5 linked regions of the Canis lupus familiaris genome follow. The protein of the gene in region 5 binds, or shares a complex with, the protein of the main gene of each other region. Links are inferred from orthologs where the notes say so. Each region holds a gene or a part of one and is shown on either strand. Other genes may lie near its edges.

Evidence for each region.
Region 1: the proteins of PPARG (region 5) and NRIP1 are in contact, whole or in part, in a crystal structure (PDB 9CWN), measured with the Homo sapiens proteins. The link is inferred for Canis lupus familiaris from reciprocal best matches to the Homo sapiens genes PPARG and NRIP1. Residues at the interface, in NP_056953.2 of Homo sapiens: Val321, Gln322, Thr325, Lys329, Phe334, Leu339, Gln342, Val343, Leu346, Lys347, Pro495, Leu496, Glu499, Ile500, Lys502; in NP_001426204.1 of Homo sapiens: Ser130, Thr131, Leu132, Leu133, Ala134, Leu136, Leu137, Ser139.
Region 2: the proteins of PPARG (region 5) and CREBBP are in contact, whole or in part, in a crystal structure (PDB 7RLE), measured with the Homo sapiens proteins. The link is inferred for Canis lupus familiaris from reciprocal best matches to the Homo sapiens genes PPARG and CREBBP. Residues at the interface, in NP_056953.2 of Homo sapiens: Val321, Gln322, Thr325, Glu326, Lys329, Phe334, Val335, Leu339, Asn340, Gln342, Val343, Thr344, Leu346, Lys347, Leu496, Glu499, Ile500, Lys502; in NP_004371.2 of Homo sapiens: Asp62, Ala63, Ala64, Lys66, His67, Lys68, Gln69, Leu70, Ser71, Leu73, Leu74, Arg75.
Region 3: the proteins of PPARG (region 5) and NFKBIB are in contact, whole or in part, in a crystal structure (PDB 9CK0), measured with the Homo sapiens proteins. The link is inferred for Canis lupus familiaris from reciprocal best matches to the Homo sapiens genes PPARG and NFKBIB. Residues at the interface, in NP_056953.2 of Homo sapiens: Gln322, Thr325, Lys329, Phe334, Leu339, Gln342, Val343, Leu346, Lys347, Leu496, Glu499, Ile500; in NP_002494.2 of Homo sapiens: Asn286, Pro287, Ile288, Leu289, Ala290, Leu292, Leu293, Arg294, Ala295.
Region 4: the proteins of PPARG (region 5) and MED1 are in contact, whole or in part, in a crystal structure (PDB 6ONJ), measured with the Homo sapiens proteins. The link is inferred for Canis lupus familiaris from reciprocal best matches to the Homo sapiens genes PPARG and MED1. Residues at the interface, in NP_056953.2 of Homo sapiens: Val321, Gln322, Thr325, Glu326, Lys329, Phe334, Leu339, Asn340, Asp341, Gln342, Val343, Thr344, Leu346, Lys347, Gly427, Leu429, His494, Pro495, Leu496, Glu499, Ile500, Lys502; in NP_004765.2 of Homo sapiens: Asn638, Thr639, Asn641, His642, Pro643, Met644, Leu645, Met646, Leu648, Leu649, Lys650, Asp651.

What each region holds. Positions count from the first base shown.
Region 1 is NC_049252.1:12,381,605-12,385,722, forward strand, and holds the start of NRIP1 (nuclear receptor-interacting protein 1), read right to left. Parts: upstream 2,801-4,118; 5' UTR 2,674-2,800; exon of another isoform or gene 2,454-2,673; intron 1,565-2,453; exon of another isoform or gene 1,508-1,564; intron 827-1,507; exon of another isoform or gene 448-826; intron 1-447. UniProt on the Homo sapiens protein: Modulates transcriptional activation by steroid receptors such as NR3C1, NR3C2 and ESR1. Also modulates transcriptional repression by nuclear hormone receptors.
Region 2 is NC_049227.1:37,799,368-37,802,878, forward strand, and holds part of CREBBP (CREB-binding protein), read left to right. Parts: intron 1-462; coding exon 463-587; intron 588-1,191; coding exon 1,192-1,380; intron 1,381-2,757; coding exon 2,758-3,174; intron 3,175-3,511. UniProt on the Homo sapiens protein: Acetylates histones, giving a specific tag for transcriptional activation. Mediates acetylation of histone H3 at 'Lys-18' and 'Lys-27' (H3K18ac and H3K27ac, respectively).
Region 3 is NC_049222.1:115,001,083-115,005,345, forward strand, and holds the start of NFKBIB (NF-kappa-B inhibitor beta), read right to left. Parts: upstream 2,806-4,263; 5' UTR 2,721-2,805; coding exon 2,542-2,720; intron 1-2,541. Other genes in the region: SIRT2 (NAD-dependent protein deacetylase sirtuin-2), read left to right, coding at 3,060-3,185. UniProt on the Homo sapiens protein: Inhibits NF-kappa-B by complexing with and trapping it in the cytoplasm.
Region 4 is NC_049230.1:22,961,966-22,965,476, reverse strand, and holds part of MED1 (mediator of RNA polymerase II transcription subunit 1), read right to left. Parts: intron 3,282-3,511; coding exon 3,186-3,281; intron 3,072-3,185; coding exon 2,966-3,071; intron 97-2,965; coding exon 1-96. UniProt on the Homo sapiens protein: Component of the Mediator complex, a coactivator involved in the regulated transcription of nearly all RNA polymerase II-dependent genes.
Region 5 is NC_049241.1:6,278,946-6,283,080, forward strand, and holds the start of PPARG (peroxisome proliferator-activated receptor gamma), read right to left. Parts: upstream 2,806-4,135; 5' UTR 2,718-2,805; coding exon 2,636-2,717; intron 1-2,635. UniProt on the Homo sapiens protein: Nuclear receptor that binds peroxisome proliferators such as hypolipidemic drugs and fatty acids.

The sequences.
Region 1 (4,118 bases), on a different chromosome or scaffold from region 5:
AACCCAACTGACATTACCAAACCGCCGGACAAAACCAAAACAACTTATTTCTAAGTTGAAAAACATTTCAACACACTCTAGGCAGCAACCCACACTTGGGCGCCAAGCAATTGAAACATTACTTGTTTAGAAAGTCCACTTATTTCAGTGTCTCTTCCACGAAGGTAGCAACCTGGTTACTAAACACTGAATAATCCGTCGGGAAAATACACCCACTTGCTAAACCTGTGATTCACTAATAAGCAGGTTCCATGGAATTCATAACTTTAAAGAATGAATTACCAAAGCCTTCTGCTTCACAAATCCCCCACCCCCAGAAATGCAAAAGCATTCATCGTATAGATCCCAACAACCATTTTCACTTTGGACATCAACAGACGGTCTTTCTTCCCCTAAAGACAGTTTTTCACCCCCCGCACGATCTCACGATTTAATCATTTACATTACCGGAGACAAACTCCAACTCAGCCCCACCGGCTGAGTGAAAAGTCCCTGTAGCTAGGGACGTCTTCCTTTTCGTCCGAAATAAAATAGCCTATTAAGAAATGTAACGCAAAAGTACTCATCACTCTGTTCTTCTTTCACTATCTTCAGCAGCCAATTAAACCACTAATAGGATGGGAGATGGGACCGCCTGTAAGGCTTCAGAGATCAACATGTGTCAGACTCCCAGCCTGTTGGCCCGTGAGACACAGTTGATTCCTTTGTTCCTTCAGACTGCACAGCAACTCTTGGTGGAAATTTGGAAACTACTTTGGAAAGGACGGGAGGGTTTGTAGAATATTTCCAGGGAAACCGTGCATAAAACAATATTCACTAGTAGCTAAGGAGGACACAGATAAGAGGGGAAGGAAGCCTCCCAGGACCTCCGCAGGGCTCACCCCAAACGCGAGCCCCGCTTGGGGCTCAGGGGGAGTGATGGGTGAGGCCTCGGGTGCAAAGAGCCTCGCCCTCGGGGGAGGGCTGCGGCGGGGGCGGGGGCGCAAGGGCCGAGCGGCCGGGCCCGGGGGCCCGGGCAGGGCCAGGAGAGCTGTCCCTGCTCCTGATCACTTTTCTTGGCCCGGAATCCAGCGAGCGCGCCGCGCCGGCAGGCACCGGGCGGGAGGCGGGAGGCGGGGGGCAGCGCCCGGCGCCGCCCAGGTCGCCCCGGGCTGCAGGACCCGGAGCCGCGCGGCCACACGCGCCCGGGCTCCGGGCCGAGGGGGCAGCCGAGCGGGGCGCGACCGCCGCCTCCGGGGAACCCACCGTGAGCCCGGGGCCAACTCCGCAACTTGCCGGGCCGGCCGCCTGGGCCCCCCGAGGTCCCGGGAAGACCCGGCGCCGGCAGGAGCGGCGATGCCCCCGCCCGCCCCGCCGCCCCGCCGCCCCCGCGGCCCTGCCCGCCGCCGCCGCCGCCGCCGCCGCCGCCGCCGCCGCCGCCGCCGCCGCCGCGCTCCCGGGCCGTTTCCGGCGGCGCCCGCGGCAGCTCGCGGAGCTCCCGGCGCCCCCGGCCGCGGCCGCCACTCACCGGAGGCCGCCGCGGCTCCGCGCCCCGAGCTCCGCCAGGCTCCCGCGGCTCCGCGCCCGCCGCCCCGTCCTCCGGCGCCCCGGGAGCTCCGCTCGCACGAGCAGCGCCGCCGAGCGCAGGGGCGGCCGCGGGCCACGGGCGGGCGTGCGCGGGGCCGGTAGTCCCTCCGCCTCCGCCTCCGCCTCCGCCGCCGCCGCCGCCTCGGCCGCCGCCGCCGCCTCCGCCGCCGCCGCCGCCGCCGCCGCCGCCGCCTCCCGAGTTCGGGGCTCTGCTGCAATGTCTGCGAGGCTGACTTTGAGCGCCTCGCTCGCCGCCCGCCCGCCCGCCCGCAGCCGCGCTCCTCCCTCCGCCGCCGAGTCCGCCGCGGCCCGGTCCCTCCCCTCGCCGCTCCACGCCATTCAGCTCTTCAGCCAAGTTTCTTAACCCTTTTCTCCCCCTCCCTCCCATGGCCGCCGGGGCAGGGGCAGCCTCTCGGGGCCCCGCAGCTCGCGCGAGCCGAGCCCCCGCCCTGGGCGCCCCGCGGCCGGCGGGCGGGGGCTGCGGGCGCGGAGGCGGCGGGAGGCCCGCGTCGGGGAGGGAGGGCCGGGGGCTGCCCGCGCCGCCCCCCCGGCCCCCGGCCCCCGGCCCCCGGCCCCCGGCTCCGTGCCGCCGCCCCTGCCCGGACAGCTGCCCCCCGGCCGGGGGCTCCCGCCGCGACCCGGGCCGGGGGCTCGCGCTGGGGGGCCGGGGCAGGCGGCCGGCACCGTCCCCTGGCGCCGCACGACACGCGCTCCGCGGCTCCCGCCCGCCCGCAGCCTCCCCGCCCGCATCCGTGTGTCCTGCTTCACTGGGGGGGGGGGGGGGCGGGGGCGCCAACTCCGGGCCGCGCGGACCCCACGCCGCAGCCCGCGGGAGGCCCCCAGGGCCCGAGGGGGAGCGGCTCCGAGGGCGAGGCTGGGAGGGAGACCTGAGGAGCGCGCGTCCGGCTCCTCGGCGGGCGTAGGACCCAGGAGCAGGGCTTCTCTCCGGCTGCTTTGTCACCGCGAAGTCCCCGGCGAGCCCGCCAGCCAATCTCCAGCATCCCGGCCAGAATCCGACCCTCTAGCAGCCCAGGCAAAAAGAGCAGGGCTGCCACCTCCTCGGCGGCCCCGCTCTCGGCTCGGTCTCCCGTACGAGGTGACAATTACATCACGAGGCCGTGGCGGCCGCGCCGGGGAGCCTCCCGGGTTCCTGCGGCCGAATCTCGCCGAACCCGCCTCTGAACTGGGGGGATCTGGGGTGGCGGCGAGGGAAAGTGCAGAGGAGACAGCGTCCTACGAACCGTGATTCCTCCCCCCACCCCTTGCCTTTCCTGCTTCAAAACCTTACCCCCAGTGCGCCCCCGAACACCGTAACTGAACTATTAACACCCCTTCCACACCTCCCCAGACGTCAGGTTTCTTTCTGACTCTAGCATCTAGCAGTTAGTAACTCGCCGTGAAAAAAAAAAAAAAAAAAAAAAAAATTACCAGGGGAACTGAATGTCATCGCCGAAATTGTTTTTTGCTTCATTAAAACAAACATAACAAACCAAACCAAAACAGAAACGCTGAAGTACAGCTGAACCCCAACCTCGACTCCGAGAGGGCATGCCTACGGTAAAGCACATTATACAAAACTTGAGTGAATGAGGCACTCCATTCTTATATATAGGTTTTCATACCCTTAAGAATTCTATGACATTTGGAAATAGAGTACTTAAACACCAAAAAACCCACTATCCTAGTCATGAAACAGTTTTCTATGCCTGTTATGTAATGGCTGTGCTGTGCATTTAAAATTTCATTTAACCTTTCAAAATATGAATGGAAGTTCTGCCATACCTTCAAATCTTAAGAGTGAAAGCAACGCTAAAGATAAATCCACCACCTAGCCCAGTGCTGGGCACAGGGTACGAAGGGTTTGCTGAATGGTGATGGTGCATTTTAGAACAATTATTTTACATCACCCTAGTGATTCAACTGTGCAATCTGTTGCCATCTTATATAGTTTACACTTCATAGGATGACTTATTGTGTGTATGTACCATAGTTTGAAATCTGCTCAAGGCAACTTAGTCAAGCCGGCTGTTCTACATGCATCATTATCTAGGGTTGATGCAAAGCGAACTGTTCCAATTAAGTGATGATCAGCAGAACTGGCATCTGGCCCTTTAAGGAGTCAAACTTCTTTAAAAACAACAACAACAACAACACTGTTAAGTGCTATACAAAGATTTTCTAAAATGGGTTATTTTTTTTCTTAAGCAGTTTATTGGACTTCATTTGGCTTTTCTTGAAAATTGAGGGTTAATATTATTAAAAGTGTTTACTGTGGTAGGTTGTAGTGGATTCAACGAATACATCAAGTTTCTATTCTACATCAGGCTTCTTCCTAGGTGTTAAAAGATGCTCCCAGGAGGTACATACACCATTAATGCACTGAAGGACTCTAGGATGTTAGGACTTAGTGATTTTTTTTTTTTTTTCTGCCTTTTGTAGTTCCTCTATTCCCCTTCGCTGACAATCTGTTGGCCTTTTTCTCTGTTGCCACAGCGGGCCTGTCTCTAATATTTTTCTCCTCTTCTGATTGGCAGCTTCTGGTCTGGGGCAGA
Region 2 (3,511 bases), on a different chromosome or scaffold from region 5:
TATTTTAAGTCTCATCCCAGATTCTAACAATAAATGTAAACCCAGCCAAAGAGCTAGGAGGCCTGGGCTGACGGGGCAGACAAGAGAGAAGGGAGCCATGTGCTCTTGCAGGTGTTAGGGAGATTGGCACCGATGGGTGCCCTGGTCTTAGCCAGTACCTCTTCCCTGGAGGGTAGGAGCACCTTCCTGGTGCCGCCTTGTTCACTGGTGCTTCACCTGACTTTCTCCCTTCATCCGCTTGTGCTGCCCTGCCCTCACCCCACCAAACCACTCTCACCACCATATTGGTGCCATTTTTCTGTATTTGATAAGTGTTACGTCACCATCTTTTCTGATTTGCTGGGTGATTTCTGTTGTACATCTTGCATATATATTCTAACTTATTTTGCTTAGAGTTTGGCATGTTGTAACTATTTTCCTGTGGGTACTTTTTCTAATGAATCATTGTGGGTGCATTTACAGGGATGAATTCATTTACCCCAATGTCCTTGGGGAATGTACAGTTGCCACAAGCTCCCATAGGACCACGTGCAGCATCCCCCATGAACCACTCTGTCCCGATGAACAGCATGGGCTCCGTTCCAGGGGTAAGTGCTTCCTTTTGCCTCAGCTGTGCTGAGAAGGCCTTGCTTGAATAAGGAAAATTCCCTACACAGTGAAATTGTAGATCCAAGAATCCTGTGGTGCTTGGTCCTCTGGATTTGATTGTGCTTTATTTACTTCATATGTCCCTCTCTTTTTGGTCTTCATTACTATAAATGAGAATTATTTGGCCATTGTTTTTTATTGGGCTAATAAATTCATAGGGACTTGGGGCTTCATGAGAAGATACAAGTTCTGAGATTAGAGTGGGCAATCTCAGATATGTCGTTGAGAGGTCCTTGACAGTGTCTCCTGACTTCTAGGGCTTCCTCTACTGGGGCTACTTTCTTAACGCTTCAGAGAAGTCGTAAAAGGTGTATTTTGACCTTTAAAGTATAGCATGTTATTGATCTCTATTCAGAGATAAATTTGAAGTTGGTTCCTTGGAGACCTTGCATGAGGAAGCATGCGGAGTGCCTGGGAGCCAGAAGGTCTCAGTGATGGTTCTCTTTCCACAGGGAAGGGAGGATTCAGAGTTCTGTCTCTCCCAGTTTATCTTCAAGACTCTGGCTCTTGTCCTCTGATCTCTTGATGATACTTGTCTTTTAGATGGCCATTTCTCCTTCCCGGATGCCTCAGCCTCCGAACATGATGGGCACTCATGCCAACAATATTATGGCCCAGGCACCTGCGCAGAACCAGTTCCTGCCACAGAACCAGTTCCAGTCCTCCAGTGGGGCGATGAGTGTGAACAGTGTAGGCATGGGGCAGCCAGCAGCCCAGACAGGCGTGCCACAGGTACCGTGCACCAGTGATGGGGTCCCCGCTTCCTCTTGACTCAAGCATATCTTATGAGATTAGAATTCCAGAATACACGTTTTATTTTTACGTTTGAGCATCTCTTGATTTTTTTTTTAACCCCCATTCAGTTTTGTTATTTTTACCTTCTTTAGAATGACTCTTATCATCATTCAACTTCATACCAAACGGAATGGATTGTGGTTTTTTGGGTTTTGGGTTTTTAGTTATCATTTTCTTGGTTTTTAGTTGTGTGTTTTAAATTCACATGTGATCCTGAGAGACCTTGAATATTACAGTGAGGACAGGCCTGTTAACTCAGCCTGGCAGTTTGGTTGGTGTGTCCTATTGTTTGTCTCTCTGAGCTTGTCATCCTGGGTAAGGTCCGCTAACTGGATTGATTGAATAGTTCTCGTCGTGTTTTTAAGTACTCTGTTTAAAGCTGAAGAAAACTATTTTCCATTCTGTTTAGTGCCTTTTTTCTTTTGATAATTAATTGTGATATATCAGATTGTTGCTATGTACACATGTGCATGTATTTAGAATAGACCAAATCTTCCCCTGGAAGATAATATTCATGTTTTCATTTTTTACATGAAGTATTAAAAAAAAAAAAGGTCATTAACTACACTAGATTTACTCACTAAATACTTATTAATTCTTCATTTCTGTAGCACTTTACTGCTCTAGAATAGCAAACTTGTTTCTGTAAATGTTTTCAACTCTGTGGGCCACAGAGTCTTTGTTTTCACTACTCAGCTCCATGGTTGTGGTAGAAAAGCAGCCATAGGCATAGTCATTCACACATAAATGAATGGGCGTGGCTGTGTTCCAATAAAACTTTACTATAAGAACAGGCAGCTAGCTGGATTGGGCCATGGGCATTAGTTTGCAGACCCCTGCTCTAGAGCAGTGATTTGGAATCACTTTTTTAAAACGTCCAAATAATATGAAGCAAGTCTCCATTTGGAAATCACTTTGCTGAAACATTTTAGTGTTTTAATAATTTCTTTTTAAAAAGAAAAAATAATAAATAAATAAAAAGAAAAATACCTTTTCCAGTGATCTAAACTATGGGTAGATGTTTTGGAGCACAAAGCTAGTAAGCTGAATGGGTATGTGTTAGTTTAAGCCAGAGGTTTCAGCAGTTCTATAAATCACAGTATAAGAAAGCATTCCACAGCATTAACTTCACTGGAAAGTGCACGTTATTGTAAGTGTACAGCTGGGTGAATTTTTACAAATGGCACATTCCCTTGAAACCAGCAGACCTCACCAAGAAGCCATGGTTAGATTTTCGTGCATTTAATTCTTCAAATCTGTTGTCACATTTTCACATGGGGAAATAATTTTAACATACTCTGTTCTCTCTATTAGGGACAGGTGCCTGGTGCTGCTCTTCCTAACCCTCTGAACATGCTTGGGCCCCAGGCCAGCCAGCTGCCCTGCCCACCAGTGACACAGTCACCATTGCACCAGACACCACCTCCTGCTTCCACGGCTGCTGGCATGCCGTCTCTCCAGCACCCGACGGCACCCGGGATGACTCCTCCCCAGCCTGCAGCTCCCACCCAGCCATCAACTCCCGTGTCGTCTTCCGGGCAGACTCCCACCCCGACTCCTGGCTCGGTGCCCAGTGCGAGCCAAACCCAGAGCACCCCTACAGTCCAGGCAGCAGCCCCGGCCCAAGTGACCCCACAGCCTCAAACCCCAGTCCAGCCCCCATCTGTGGCTACCCCGCAGTCATCACAGCAACAGCCGACACCTGTGCACCCCCAGCCTCCTGGCACACCGGTGAGCCCCGCAATCTGTCTTTGGGCTGAGACTCGTAATCGAGGACTTCCCCATAAAAAACATCCTGTCACAAAGCTGCCTTTGTGTCTTGGTGCAACCCCAGAAGGTGCCTGTACCCTAATCAAACTGTAGGAGCTATATTTTGTTTCCGACATTGGCTCCAAAGGCCATGTTTGGATCTGGCAGGATGTAACTTAAGATTATCTTTTTTAATTAAACGAGTTTTCAGAAATCAGTAGTTATAAAGAAATCAAACATAGGTCTGTACATAGGAGCCGTTGGTTCCCCATTATCCTAGGCAGGTGTCTTCTGAGTTTTAGTAATTTTTCTCTTAACA
Region 3 (4,263 bases), on a different chromosome or scaffold from region 5:
TACAAGTAATACCCTTTAAATATAGGTATTAAAAGATAGGTTAAAATAAAAGGGTGGAAAAAGATATACTGTGCTAACACCAGTCAGTCAAAAGAAAGCAGGAGTGAGTTGTGTTTTTTTAAGATTTTATTTATTCATGACAGACTCACAGAGAGAGAGAGAGAGAGAGAGAGAGAGAGAGGCAGAGACACAGGCAGAGGGAGACGCAGGCTCCATGCAGGGAGCCTGATGTGGGACTCGATCCCGGATCTCCAGGATCATGCCCTGGCTGAAGGCGGCACTAAACTGCTGGGCCACCGGGGCTGCCCAGGAGTGAATATTTTAATATCATACTAGACTTTAGAGCAAGAAATATTACCAAGTATCGAGAAGGTTATTTTGTAATGATTAAGAGGTCAACTAAGCAAAAGAACATAATAATTCTACATATCCATGCCCTAATAACAGAGCATCAAATTACACAAAGCAAAACCTGACAGAACAAGAGACAAATCCATAATGACTGCTGGAGATTTCAATGCCCCCTCCTCAATAATTGATAGAACAAGGAGACAGAAACCATTAGTAAGGATATATAAAATGATAAACCAATAGGACCACTAATTGACTTTTAGAGAACCCTACACCCAACAACAGCAGAATATTCACTCTTTTCAAGTGCACGCATAATGTGTGGCACCATAAAACAATTCTCAATAAATTTACGAGGATCCAAGTCATACAAAGTATGTTCTCAGTCTACAAGGGAATTAAATTAAAAATCAATAAAAGAGAGACATTTGGAAAACTTTCCAAATATCTGGAAACTAAATAACATATTTATTTTTTTAAAAAGATTTATTTAGGGGCATCAGGGTGGCACAGTGGGTTGGATGACCAACTCTTGGCTTCAGCTCAGGCCCTGATCTCAGGGTCATGGGATCACGCCCTGCTCCCAACAGAGCCTGCTTGGGTTTCTCTCTCCCTCTCCCTCTGCCCCCTACCCCTTTTTAAAAGATTTATTTATTTATTTATTTTAGAGAGAGCATAAGCAGGAAGGGCAGAGGGAGAAAGAGAGAGAATTCCAAGCAGATGCCACACTTGAGCACAGAGCCCAATGGGAGGCTCATCCCAGGACCCTGAGATCACAACCTGAGCTCAACCAACTGAGCCACCCAGGCGCCCTAAATAACATATTTTTAAATAATCCACTGGCCAAAGAAGAAATCAAAAGAGAAATTACAAAGTATCTTGAATTAAATGAACATGAAAACACAACATATCAGAATTTGTGAGAGACTGCTAAAGTACTGCTGCTGGAAATTTATACCATGAAACACCAATGTTAGAGAAGAAAGGTCTCAAATGAATGATCTCAGCTGCCACCTTAAGAAACTTTAAAAAAAGAGAGAAAGAAAGAAAAAAAAAAATTAGACCCAAAGTAAGCCGAAGAGGGCAATAATGAAAATCAAAACAGAGATCAATGAAATAGAAAGCAAAAAACCAATAAAGAAAACTAATGAAACCTCAGCAGGGGTCTTTGGAAAGAACAATATTTCCTGCACGCCTCTTATGGGTCAAGCCCTGTTTAGTCACCATGACTGGATGAGTAGACACAAATACACAAAAAAACCCCAGGACAATCCCTCACCGCCCTTTACAATTCTGGTTCCTTCTGCCTGGAGAGTTCTCCCCCAGATACTCTACGGATCTCGTTTTCCTGCTTTATTTTTCCCCCAAAGAACTTATTACCTTCAGATACACTATTTTTCTGCCTTTCCTTTATACTGTTTTTCGTTTTTCTTTGTTTCTTCTTTTCCTTTCTCTTCTTTCTCACTTTGCGTCTGTGTCTTAGTTTCTTTTGTTCCTTCTCTCTCCTCTTTCCCTCCCTCCCTTCCTTCCTGTCTTTCTGTCAGCCTGTCTGTCCTTTTGTCTGTCTACATACGCACCTTAGAATGTAAACTCCACAAGAGCGGAAATTTTTGTCTGTTTTCCTCACTGCTTTATCGCAGCACCTAAACCAGTGCCTGGAACGTGGTGGTGTTCAGCAAATACTTAACAGGCATCAATCCCTGCTATCATGGAGCTTACGTTTTCCCTTTGGATGTAAGATCTGAAGATCGGTGCTCAGAAGGTAGAATGTTAAGAATCAAGGTCATGTATTAATTTTGGAAATCTAAGTTCAAGGCGCATCCATCAGGAGGCTAAGGATCAAGGATCCTATTTGGAGGTAGGAGGTGAGGAGGAGCCTGTCTGGACCACAACTCTAACAAAGGTCTCCGGACTTGGGTCGGGAAGATCAAAACCAGTTTGGGGATCAATGGATAGGGATGTGGAGCAATATGAAGCAGAGCTCAAGAAAGGAAAGTCGGAGAAATTAAGGAGTTAGGGTCAAAGTTGGCTAGGAAATTGGTTTTACTAAAGGTTAGGAGTTACAAATCAGAAAGTCGAGCATCAGAAGTTAGATTTAAGAGTGAAAGGTTAGGGAGCCGGGATAGGAGACTAATAGGGAATCAGAGGTGGGATCCTAGGGCCCCGTTAGGCAGCCTAAGGTTCACTCACGTGTCCCCATCCTCAGTGACGTAGCCAAAGACGAGGGGCGCCCACGACAACCCCGGGCCCAGCTCGGCGCCCAGCCCCGGTCCTCCGGGGGCTGCTGCGTCGGGACCCAGAGAGCCCAGGCCGCTGTCGCACCATTCGTCGGCCTCCGCAGCTTTCCCCAAGCACGCGACCCCGGCCATGGCCCCCGAAGCCTCAGGGGCCCCAGCGGCCGCCCGCCTGTAGCTGGCTTTGCCTGAAGCCCCGGCGCTTCCGCCCTGCGGGGAATTCCCCAACACTCCCCCTTGGCTCACCCAATCAGAATGACCTAAAGAGCACACGCCCCGCCCCCTTACCACACAGTGACCATTCAGAGTATTCAGACGGACTGCGGCTCTCTACCCATTCCCACAGTTTCCGGCCGCCCTTTACCAACATGGCTGCCTGCGCGGAGCCCTCTGGGACTCGTAGTCTCGCCGTCCGTGTCTTCCTAGCCCGAGAGCGGCAGGCGCCGCTGGACGAAAAGCCTGTATGCATCCTCGATGACTGCTGGGAGTCGTAGTTCTCTGCCCTGTCTCTGCCCCTCCTGTTTCCGGTGCCGTCACGGGACAGAGCAGTCGGTGACAGCCCCGAGGGCCCCCGCCCCGCGCCCATGGCCGAGCCGGACCGTGAGTCGGGGGCCCCGGTGGGAGGGTCGGGTCGCACCGGGGCCTGGCTGAGGGCTGCAGGCCCCGGGGCCCGAGGACCGGCGTGGTGGGGCTGGAGACGGGGGCTGCATGGCGGCCAGTGGGAATCGGGGCGGGGGTGGGGGGTCGTTGCTAAGTGATCCATCTTGCCAGGCTGGTGGGTTTCTGGGTCGCGAGATTGTAAGGGTCCTTTGCTACGTCCCCTAAGTTACTAATGACCGCGTGTTTCTCGCACCTCGGTTGCTGAGGACCCTCGTTGCTAAGGACTTAGATTGCCGCGGCCCCGGTTGCTAAGGGTACCTGGTTGTTAGGGGGAACTGTAGGATGCTCGGGGACCCCTGGCGCCCCCTCCTGTCTCGTCCCTCTAGTTCCTGTGCCCCTCCTAAACGTGCTGTCTCCACTGCACCTCCTTTCCTAAACCTGTCTCTGCTAAGCGTATTTTGTTTTCTCTCTTCCTTTTTTAAACTTCCCTCTGTTTGTAAACCCTAACCCTCCCTGCACACACACGTGCTCACACACACACTCACTACTGTTTGCTTCCTCACTTCTAAGTCTTCCTCCATGCCTGTATGCTTTACTTTCTCCTCCCTCTCCCAAACCTTCCTGCCCCAGCCTCTGTCTGTCACTAACCACTTCTCCAGACAGCACTGTCTATCCTAATAAGATCTGCTTTTCCCCATCCCCTCCCTCCCTCTGCTCAGCTTTTACCACCACCTCCCACCCCAGTATAATTAGGTTGGTGGGTCTTCTTGCCCCTTGCCCCTCTGCTTTGAAGCCCTTCATCCCCACTTAACTGTGCCCCGCACTGTAACCACGTCTGCTCCCCCTCCTCCCCCAGCCTCTGACCCTCTGGAGACCCAGGCAGGGAAGGTGCAGGAGGCTCAGGTGAGATTTGGGGAAGGGTGGAGGGAAGGAGAGAAATGGACGTGTTCCCACACCCCACACTCTGGGGGGGGTGGAGGTGGCAGAGGGGAGACAGTTACCCCAGGGCCCTCAGGGCATCACCCCAGCCCCTTGCCCCCACTCCTGGTTCGGCCCCCTGGGAATGGTGGATTCCGGG
Region 4 (3,511 bases), on a different chromosome or scaffold from region 5:
ACTGTCTCTGCAATGAGGGACAGTGCTGGGGTGTCGGCCTGAATGGTTTCAGCTTTCCTCCGAATAGCCCTCATCGTCACAGGGATGGACATACATCTGTAAGATAAGATAGAAAAAACAAAATCAGCAATGTATTAGCTGCTGAAAGAAAACAATTTTTATTTGGGAAAACAGGCTTTAATTTTGCCTGAAATTCAGATATGTACTCAGAGGTTTACAGTAAGGAATTTTCAGGTAAGGCAAGTAACCGGTAAGACAGAAATAGTTCTATAAAATGCTGGAGCATTGGGCAAATTCATTCTAAAAGGAATCTGTACCAGTAGGCAATCTTAACCTCTTTTAAAGCACTACCCAAAACAAACCAACCACAAAGTCCAAATTACATGTCATACTAAACCAAAAGAAAACTGGTAATAATGAACTCAGTAAGAAAATGCCCTCCTGGGGCGCCTGGGTAGCTCAGGTGGTTAAGCATCTGCCTTCAGCGCAGGTCATGATCCCAGGGTCCTGGGATCGAGCCCCACATCAGCTCCCTGCTCAAAGGGGAGTCTGCTTCTCCCTCTCCCTCTGCCCATCCCCCACCACCTTGTTCATGCTTGCTCTGTCACTCTCTCAAATAAATAAAATCTTTAAAAAAAAGCCCTCCTTTTAGGACTTCACATGTGATTAATGGGATATAATATTTACCTTAATTAATGAAACACTAGAAAAAGCTCTTGAAACATCAAGTTCTAAACCTTAATGGCAAAAAATAATAATAATAATAAAAAAAAACTAAACCTTAATGGTGGGACACCTGGGTGGCTCAGCGGTTTAGCGCCTGCCTTTGGCCCAGGGCATGATCCTGGAGTCCCGGGATCGAGTCCCACATTGGGCTCCCTGCATGGAGCCTGCATCTCCTCTGTCTGTGTCTCTGCCTCTCTTTCTGTGTGTCTCATGAATAAATAAACTCTTTAAAAAATAAATCATAAAATAAAATAAAATAAAATAAAATAAAATAAAATAAAATAAAATAAAATAAAATAAAATAAAATAAAATAAAATAAAACAAAAATAAACCTTAATGGCTTAAAGCATCCCAAAGCTATATTGTGAAAGATGCTATTATTGCTCTAAAATCTTTATTATTTTTTTAAATGATTTATTTACTTATTTACATATGATATATATATAGAGAGAGAGGCAGAGACACAGGAAGAGGGAGAAGCAGGCTCCATGCCAGGAGCCCGACGCAGAACTCGATCCCGGGACTCCAGGATCACACCTGGGCCAAAGGCAAGCGCTAAACCACTGAGCCACCCAAGAATCCCCTACAATCTTTATTATTTTAAAGCAAAGCACTTTTTATCTTATAGATAAGTTTAAAAACGTATTTTCGGGATCCCTGGGTGGCGCAGCGGTTTGGCGCCTGCCTTTGGCCCAGGGTGCGATCCTGGAGACCCGGGATCGAATCCCACGTCAGGCTCCCGGTGCATGGAGCCTGCTTCTCCCTCTGCCTATGTCTCTGCCTCTCTCTCCCTCTCTCTCTGTATGACTATCATAAATAAATTAAAAAAAAAAAAGTATTTTCGAAAACACTTTGCTCTAGAACATTTTAGCAACTTTTCTTAAAGAGACCAAAATAGTAGTATTTTAGGATTTTGAAGATCACATGGTTTTTGTCCAACTATTCTGCCATCTTAGCTCGAAAGGCACCACAGACAATATATAGGGGTGCCTGAGTGGCTCAGTCGGTTAAGTGTCCCAATTCTTGATTTTACCTCAGGTCATGATCTCAGTGTACTGAGATCAAACCCCACATCAGACTTCCCACTCAGTAGAGTCTGCTTAGGATTCTCTCTCCTTCTAACCCCCACCCACCCCTCAAATTCTCTCTAAAAAATAAATCTTAAAAAAAAAAAAAAAAAAGAGACAACATATAAATGAACAAACATAGCTGTGTTCCAATAAAATTTATTTACAAAACAGGCCACAAGCATCAGCTCTAGAAAAATCTCAAAATTACATATTAATGTTTCTGGGAAGCTGACTAGCTTAAAGTATCTTCCTACATGCCACCATTTGATATATTACATATGTTAAAAAGTGATGCAGTAGATAAGTAAAAAAAAAATCTAGGGGCTCAGTTGGCTAAACATCAGTCTTTAGCTCAGGTCATGATCCCAGACTCCCGGGATCAATACCCATGTCAGGCTCCCTGCTCAGCGGGTAGTCTGCTTCTCCCCCCTCCTTCTGGCTGTCCCCCTGGCTCCTTCTCTTTCTGCCTGTCTATCTCACTCTCTATCTCAAATAAATAAATAAAATCTTAAAAAAAAAAATCTACATCTTATTTCAGGTATTTCCTTCCTAAAAGAATCCTATACCAACCTAAAGTTACTCTACCTTACTTCCTATTACTCCCATGATGGTATTTAAAAAACTAAAGCTTGGGGCAGGCCAGGTGGCTCAGTGGTTTAGCGCCGCTTTCAGCCCAGAGCCTGATCCTAGAGACCCAGGATCGAGTCCCACAACAGGCTCCCTGCATGGAGCCTGCTTCTCCCTCCGCCTGTGTCTCTGCCTCTGTCTCTCATTAATAAATAAATAAAAACCTTAAAAAAAATAAAAAACTAAAGCTCACATTGCTTTTGAATCCCAAAGCAGAGAAAGGTGAATTCAAAACAGTGACTACATGCTTCCCTCCTGGGCAGCCCCAGTGGCGCAGCGGTTTGGCGCCACCTGCAGCCTGGGGTGTGATCCTGGAGACCCGGGATCGAGTCCCACATCAGGTTCCCAGCGTGAAGCCTGCTTCTCCCTCTGCCTATGTCTCTGCCTCTCTCTCTGTGTCTATGAATAAATAAATAAAATCTTTAAAAAAATAAAAAATAAATAAATGCTTCCCTCCTAAATTTCCATTCACTTTAATACTGAAAACAGTGTTTCTTATACCCCTCTAAATGGGAGTCTGATGGAAAAGAGCCAGTGCTACCTTTGAACAACTTTGGCAATGAAGTCATCTGTGCAGATGAGTGCATCTGACAGCCCCTTGTACAGTTTACAGCTCACATGTGTTGAGTCCTGCACATCCATTACCACTGAAAGACAAAACATATAGGAGTTGAGAGAAATTCAGCTTCTGACTTTCCAAAAAGAAGATAAAGAGCCCAAACTACTGCCCTAAGAAAAGAGCTAGCCCCCTCAAAACTCACCACACACCAGGGAGTCATTCACAGGGTGCTGAAAAGATACGCTAAAACGGGACTCTGAGAGAGGACACACTTCAAATTGGAGGAGCCCAGGAGAATCTAAAAGGCAAAGAAAAAGATCATAAAATAATCAAATATAAGACTAAATCCTAATAAATAATAATCCCTAAGTATACAGAACATCATTTTCAGTCTCCTTAGAAACTAAATCCTATACATTTTTTACATGCAAAACTACTATATCATTCACAGGTGATAGAATGAATCCGATTCCAAAAAATATGTCAGCTTGTTATAAATATTCCAAACAAATAAGTAACTAAACTTCC
Region 5 (4,135 bases):
AAGGCATATTTCCATTGCTCAATCAGCTCCAAAGGACAAGCATGTCATCATCTTTCAATGCTCTGGTGCAACACTTTAAAATTATAGAATTCACACAGGACTAAGTCTGGCACTAAAAGCAGGAGGCATATTCAGCTTCAGTTTGTGGAAGCTTCCCTTCAGTCTTGCCAATTTTTACTAGTGGAAATGGTTTCAGAGCCAGAATGGGGTTACTTGGGGTTACTTGAGAAGCTCATGATGAAAATAGGGGAATAAGATAAAGGCAGGAGGTCACTGTGATAATGGAGCCCAGGAAAAGCACAGAAGTCCTCTTTGGGCATAGTGGCTACATAAATTTTTGAATCTCATGAATATGACCCATATGGCTTGGACATCTGGATCATTCACACTCAACAAGCCACTTTTACTTCAAAGTAGCACCGAGCTACTTGCAACAACCCCCAATCCCACCTTGTCTAAAGAAGAAGGAGCACCTAAATTAATTACTGTATTAAAGCCAAGTACCTAAACTCTACAGTGTTTCATCTCTGATAGGCTCAAAGAGCAAATGACGATTATGTCTAAATTCTTTTTTTAAAGATTTTATTTATTTATTTGACAGAGAGAGAGAACAAGCAGGGGGAGCAGCAGAGGGAGAGGAAGAAGCAGGCTCCCCACTGAGCAGGGAACCCGAGGTGGGGCTCCATCCCAGGACCCTGGGACCATGACCTGAGCCAAAGACAGACACTTAACTGAGTCACTCAGGCCCCCCTATATGTCTAAATGCAATTGAAGTTAACAATCATAGGTGTTTGGCCTTTAGGAATAACATTTTCAACAGAAAAACAACATGAATAAGAAGTAATCAGAGACCATATAAACAAAAGTTAAATAATTGGCACAATATGTCATTTCTTAATTGCTATTAATTTTATTCTGTACTAATTAAGAAGAAAAGTACTGAGTTATTCCTTTGAAGGGGATTTGAGACTCAAAACAATTAGGCCCTGGGCAAATCCAAGACATAAATATATAGAGATCAGTACAGAATGAAAACTAACTGGAATCACATAACTATCTCTTACCATAAACAGTATTTTTCCTCAGTTAACCTAAAATATTTATTGCACTACATTCTGAACACATTTTTTGCAAACAGACAAAATTATCAAATTTTGACTCAAGGACTATTTCACATCTATCCTGATATCAGCAGGCTAAACTAATAACTGGAGAAAGATAGTAATAATTTCTATGGCTTTTAGAAACAAAGAATAACATATTTTTATATAATATAATGAAACCAAACTCATATTTAAGAGGCTCAGGTGACAGATATATATATTGAATCAAATCACCCTAAGAGAATGAAATAGTATTTCAGGAAATATTTTTTCTTAATTTTTAAACAGCCAAGTGTTTAAGCAAAAAACAAGTGATTAGTATGTTCAAACTTCAGGCTTCCAGAAAAATTAACACATTGAAATGTAAAGGCATTCATTTCAACAATGAAGTGACTTAACTGTAACACTTCAGCACTTATTTTATAAAACACAAATCACACTAGTTAACACAATCTATTTTTACATAGTATCTATGAGAAAAAATAACCAGAAATATAGAAATAAATATGAAACAGTACAAAACAGAAGAAGCTGTGCTAAGAAACTCCAGTAGAAGGAGCTGTAGAAATGAAGAACTTATATTTTGCAATGGTCAAGAAAGGAATTTTGAAAAATGAGGTATCTGCTTGAATCTTATATATTTGAGTGCAAGTAATAGCTAATCATTTACTTAGTATGCAATAGGCATTTAGGGATGTTATTTTCTTTGTGTGTAAAATGAAATGCTTGGAATAGACATTCTCCGAGGCCCCACAATCTATTTATTCTATAATGCATTAGGCACCATGCTAGGTATCCTAAGAAATCTAAAGAAGATTATAAGCTGGTTTTACACTCAGTGTACACTTCTCTGGAAAGATAACATGTACAAATATCTAGATTTCAAAGTAGAACAAAAACATGTTGAGAGAGCTTTAAGAGGAATAAAAATGCTGTGGGAGGGATAAAAGCCGCCTGAGAGATATGTACCATAAGACTATAAAACGGGAAAAGGGACACTCCCCCCACCCCAGGTATTCTAAAAAGACCTTAAGTATATTTAGGAAAATATATAGGGACACCTGGGTGGCTCAGCAATTGGGCATCTGCCTTTCTCTCAGGGCATGATCCCGGAGTCCTGGGATCGAGTCCCACATCAGGCTCCCCACAGGGAGCCTGCTTCTCCCTCTGCCTGTGTCTCTGCCTCTCTCTCTCTGTCTCTCATGAATAAATAAATTATTTTTTTAAAAAGGAAAATATATAAAACTAGAAAATAAAAATGAATAGGATCTTTAAAAATATAAACATACCTTTAATGCTTAAAATTCAGGAAATGGGAGCTATGCATAGAGATAAATATGGATTAGCTTAGGCTTCTTTTTCAAAGCTCTGATGCTTATAAGTGAACACAAACACAGCAAAGTAGACATTAAAATAGTGGCCTAGACACAACTCATACTAGAATGTAACTTGGAAAACAAACGACAAGAGCAATTTTACCATTCTATAAATGCCCAAAGTAACCCAAGAGCCGTATCTGGAGTTGACTTTACCTTGTGAAGTGCTTGCAGACAGTGTATCAGCAAAGGAGTCGCTTTCTGGGTCAATGAGAGAATCTCCCAGAGTTTCACCCATAACAGCATGGAAGAGGGATTTTCTGTAATTCACACTGATATTTTGTCTATTTCTTGCAAAAGACCAATCCATTAAAAGAAAAAGACTTGCAGTAGTAGAACTTGTGAACACAACCAATGAGTTAAGACATCAGTTTCCAAATATTTGGGAGAGGTGGGAATAAATCCACAAAGGACTAGGCCTGAATTGGCTGGTACTGTCCTGTTAGAGAGCCAGCTGTGACAAATGTTGTGTCATGATGTTGCTCACTGCTTTGGCAAGACTTGGTACATTACAAGGAAAACATTGCCACACTGTCTCGCCAGTGACCCACATGTTCTGTGTCTTGTGAGGGGTGTGAGTTGTACAGTATTTAGAGCTATCGGAGCAAAGAGATTGTTCAATTTTCAATTGTTTCTTAAACTTTACATCTCTGGGTTATGAAGTACCAGATAAACTTACTTCAACAACATTTTTTTGTAGCTGCCCATCCCTGGTTGAATCTCTAAACTGTTATTATCTGAAGAAAACTATTTAATTAAAACATGTACTTGTATTTTAAAGTTTGGCATCAGCATGCTGCTGAAATGTTATTTTCTGAGGCATTTGTTTGCCAACTTTAGAAAGGCCAAAATGATACTAACAAATTCTATAAAATTAAGTAGTTGAGAGATATAGTTTAGATGTCGTGTATCAGGGTTTGCTTTTTTAGTCACTTGATTATTAAGTTTATCCATCACTAGGCAAAGGCAGTACTGCTGTACCCATGTCTGAACATAGCAGATGTTTAAATGATAAATGCCATGTCATAATGAAAAAAAGTGGAGTTCTCTCTGAGAAGAATAATGTATTAGCCAAAAAAAAAAAAAAAAAAATTGACTCACACTGATAGGTTGGCGAGGAACTGTGGTCAGTTTTGTAATCAGGAGAAAGCTGGCTTCTTGCTCAAGTCCTTTGCCCTTTTTGGCAAGGAGAAACACAAGCCGTGCCAAACTTCAGCATGGAAGCAGGTCCCCACTTGTCACATAAGTGGCCTGATAGAATTGCAGTGACTTGTGGATGTAATAAAGATGCCCCCACTTAGGGCGATATACCAGATGGCAGTAATTCCCTTCAACTTAACCCAGTATTCTCCAAGTGGAATAAGTCTATCTATTTAATCTACATTGAGTAGCTAACTGGTCATCCTGCAGGGGAACTAACAAAAGTTTCCCTGTTAATCACACAGCAACAGCCTGGTGGGGAAAATGCTCACAGGGTCTCAACAGCACAGAATAAAGTGGAGAACTGGGCATTGATATTGCTTAAAAGCCTTTGAAAACCAAGAAACTTTTACTAAGGTAGTTCAAGTTAAAGCAAGCTCCTTGACAGTCCAAATGACTGAGGTAATTATAGGTGTGTAGAACTAGGTTATTCAGCTTGAATTGTCAATAAAGGAG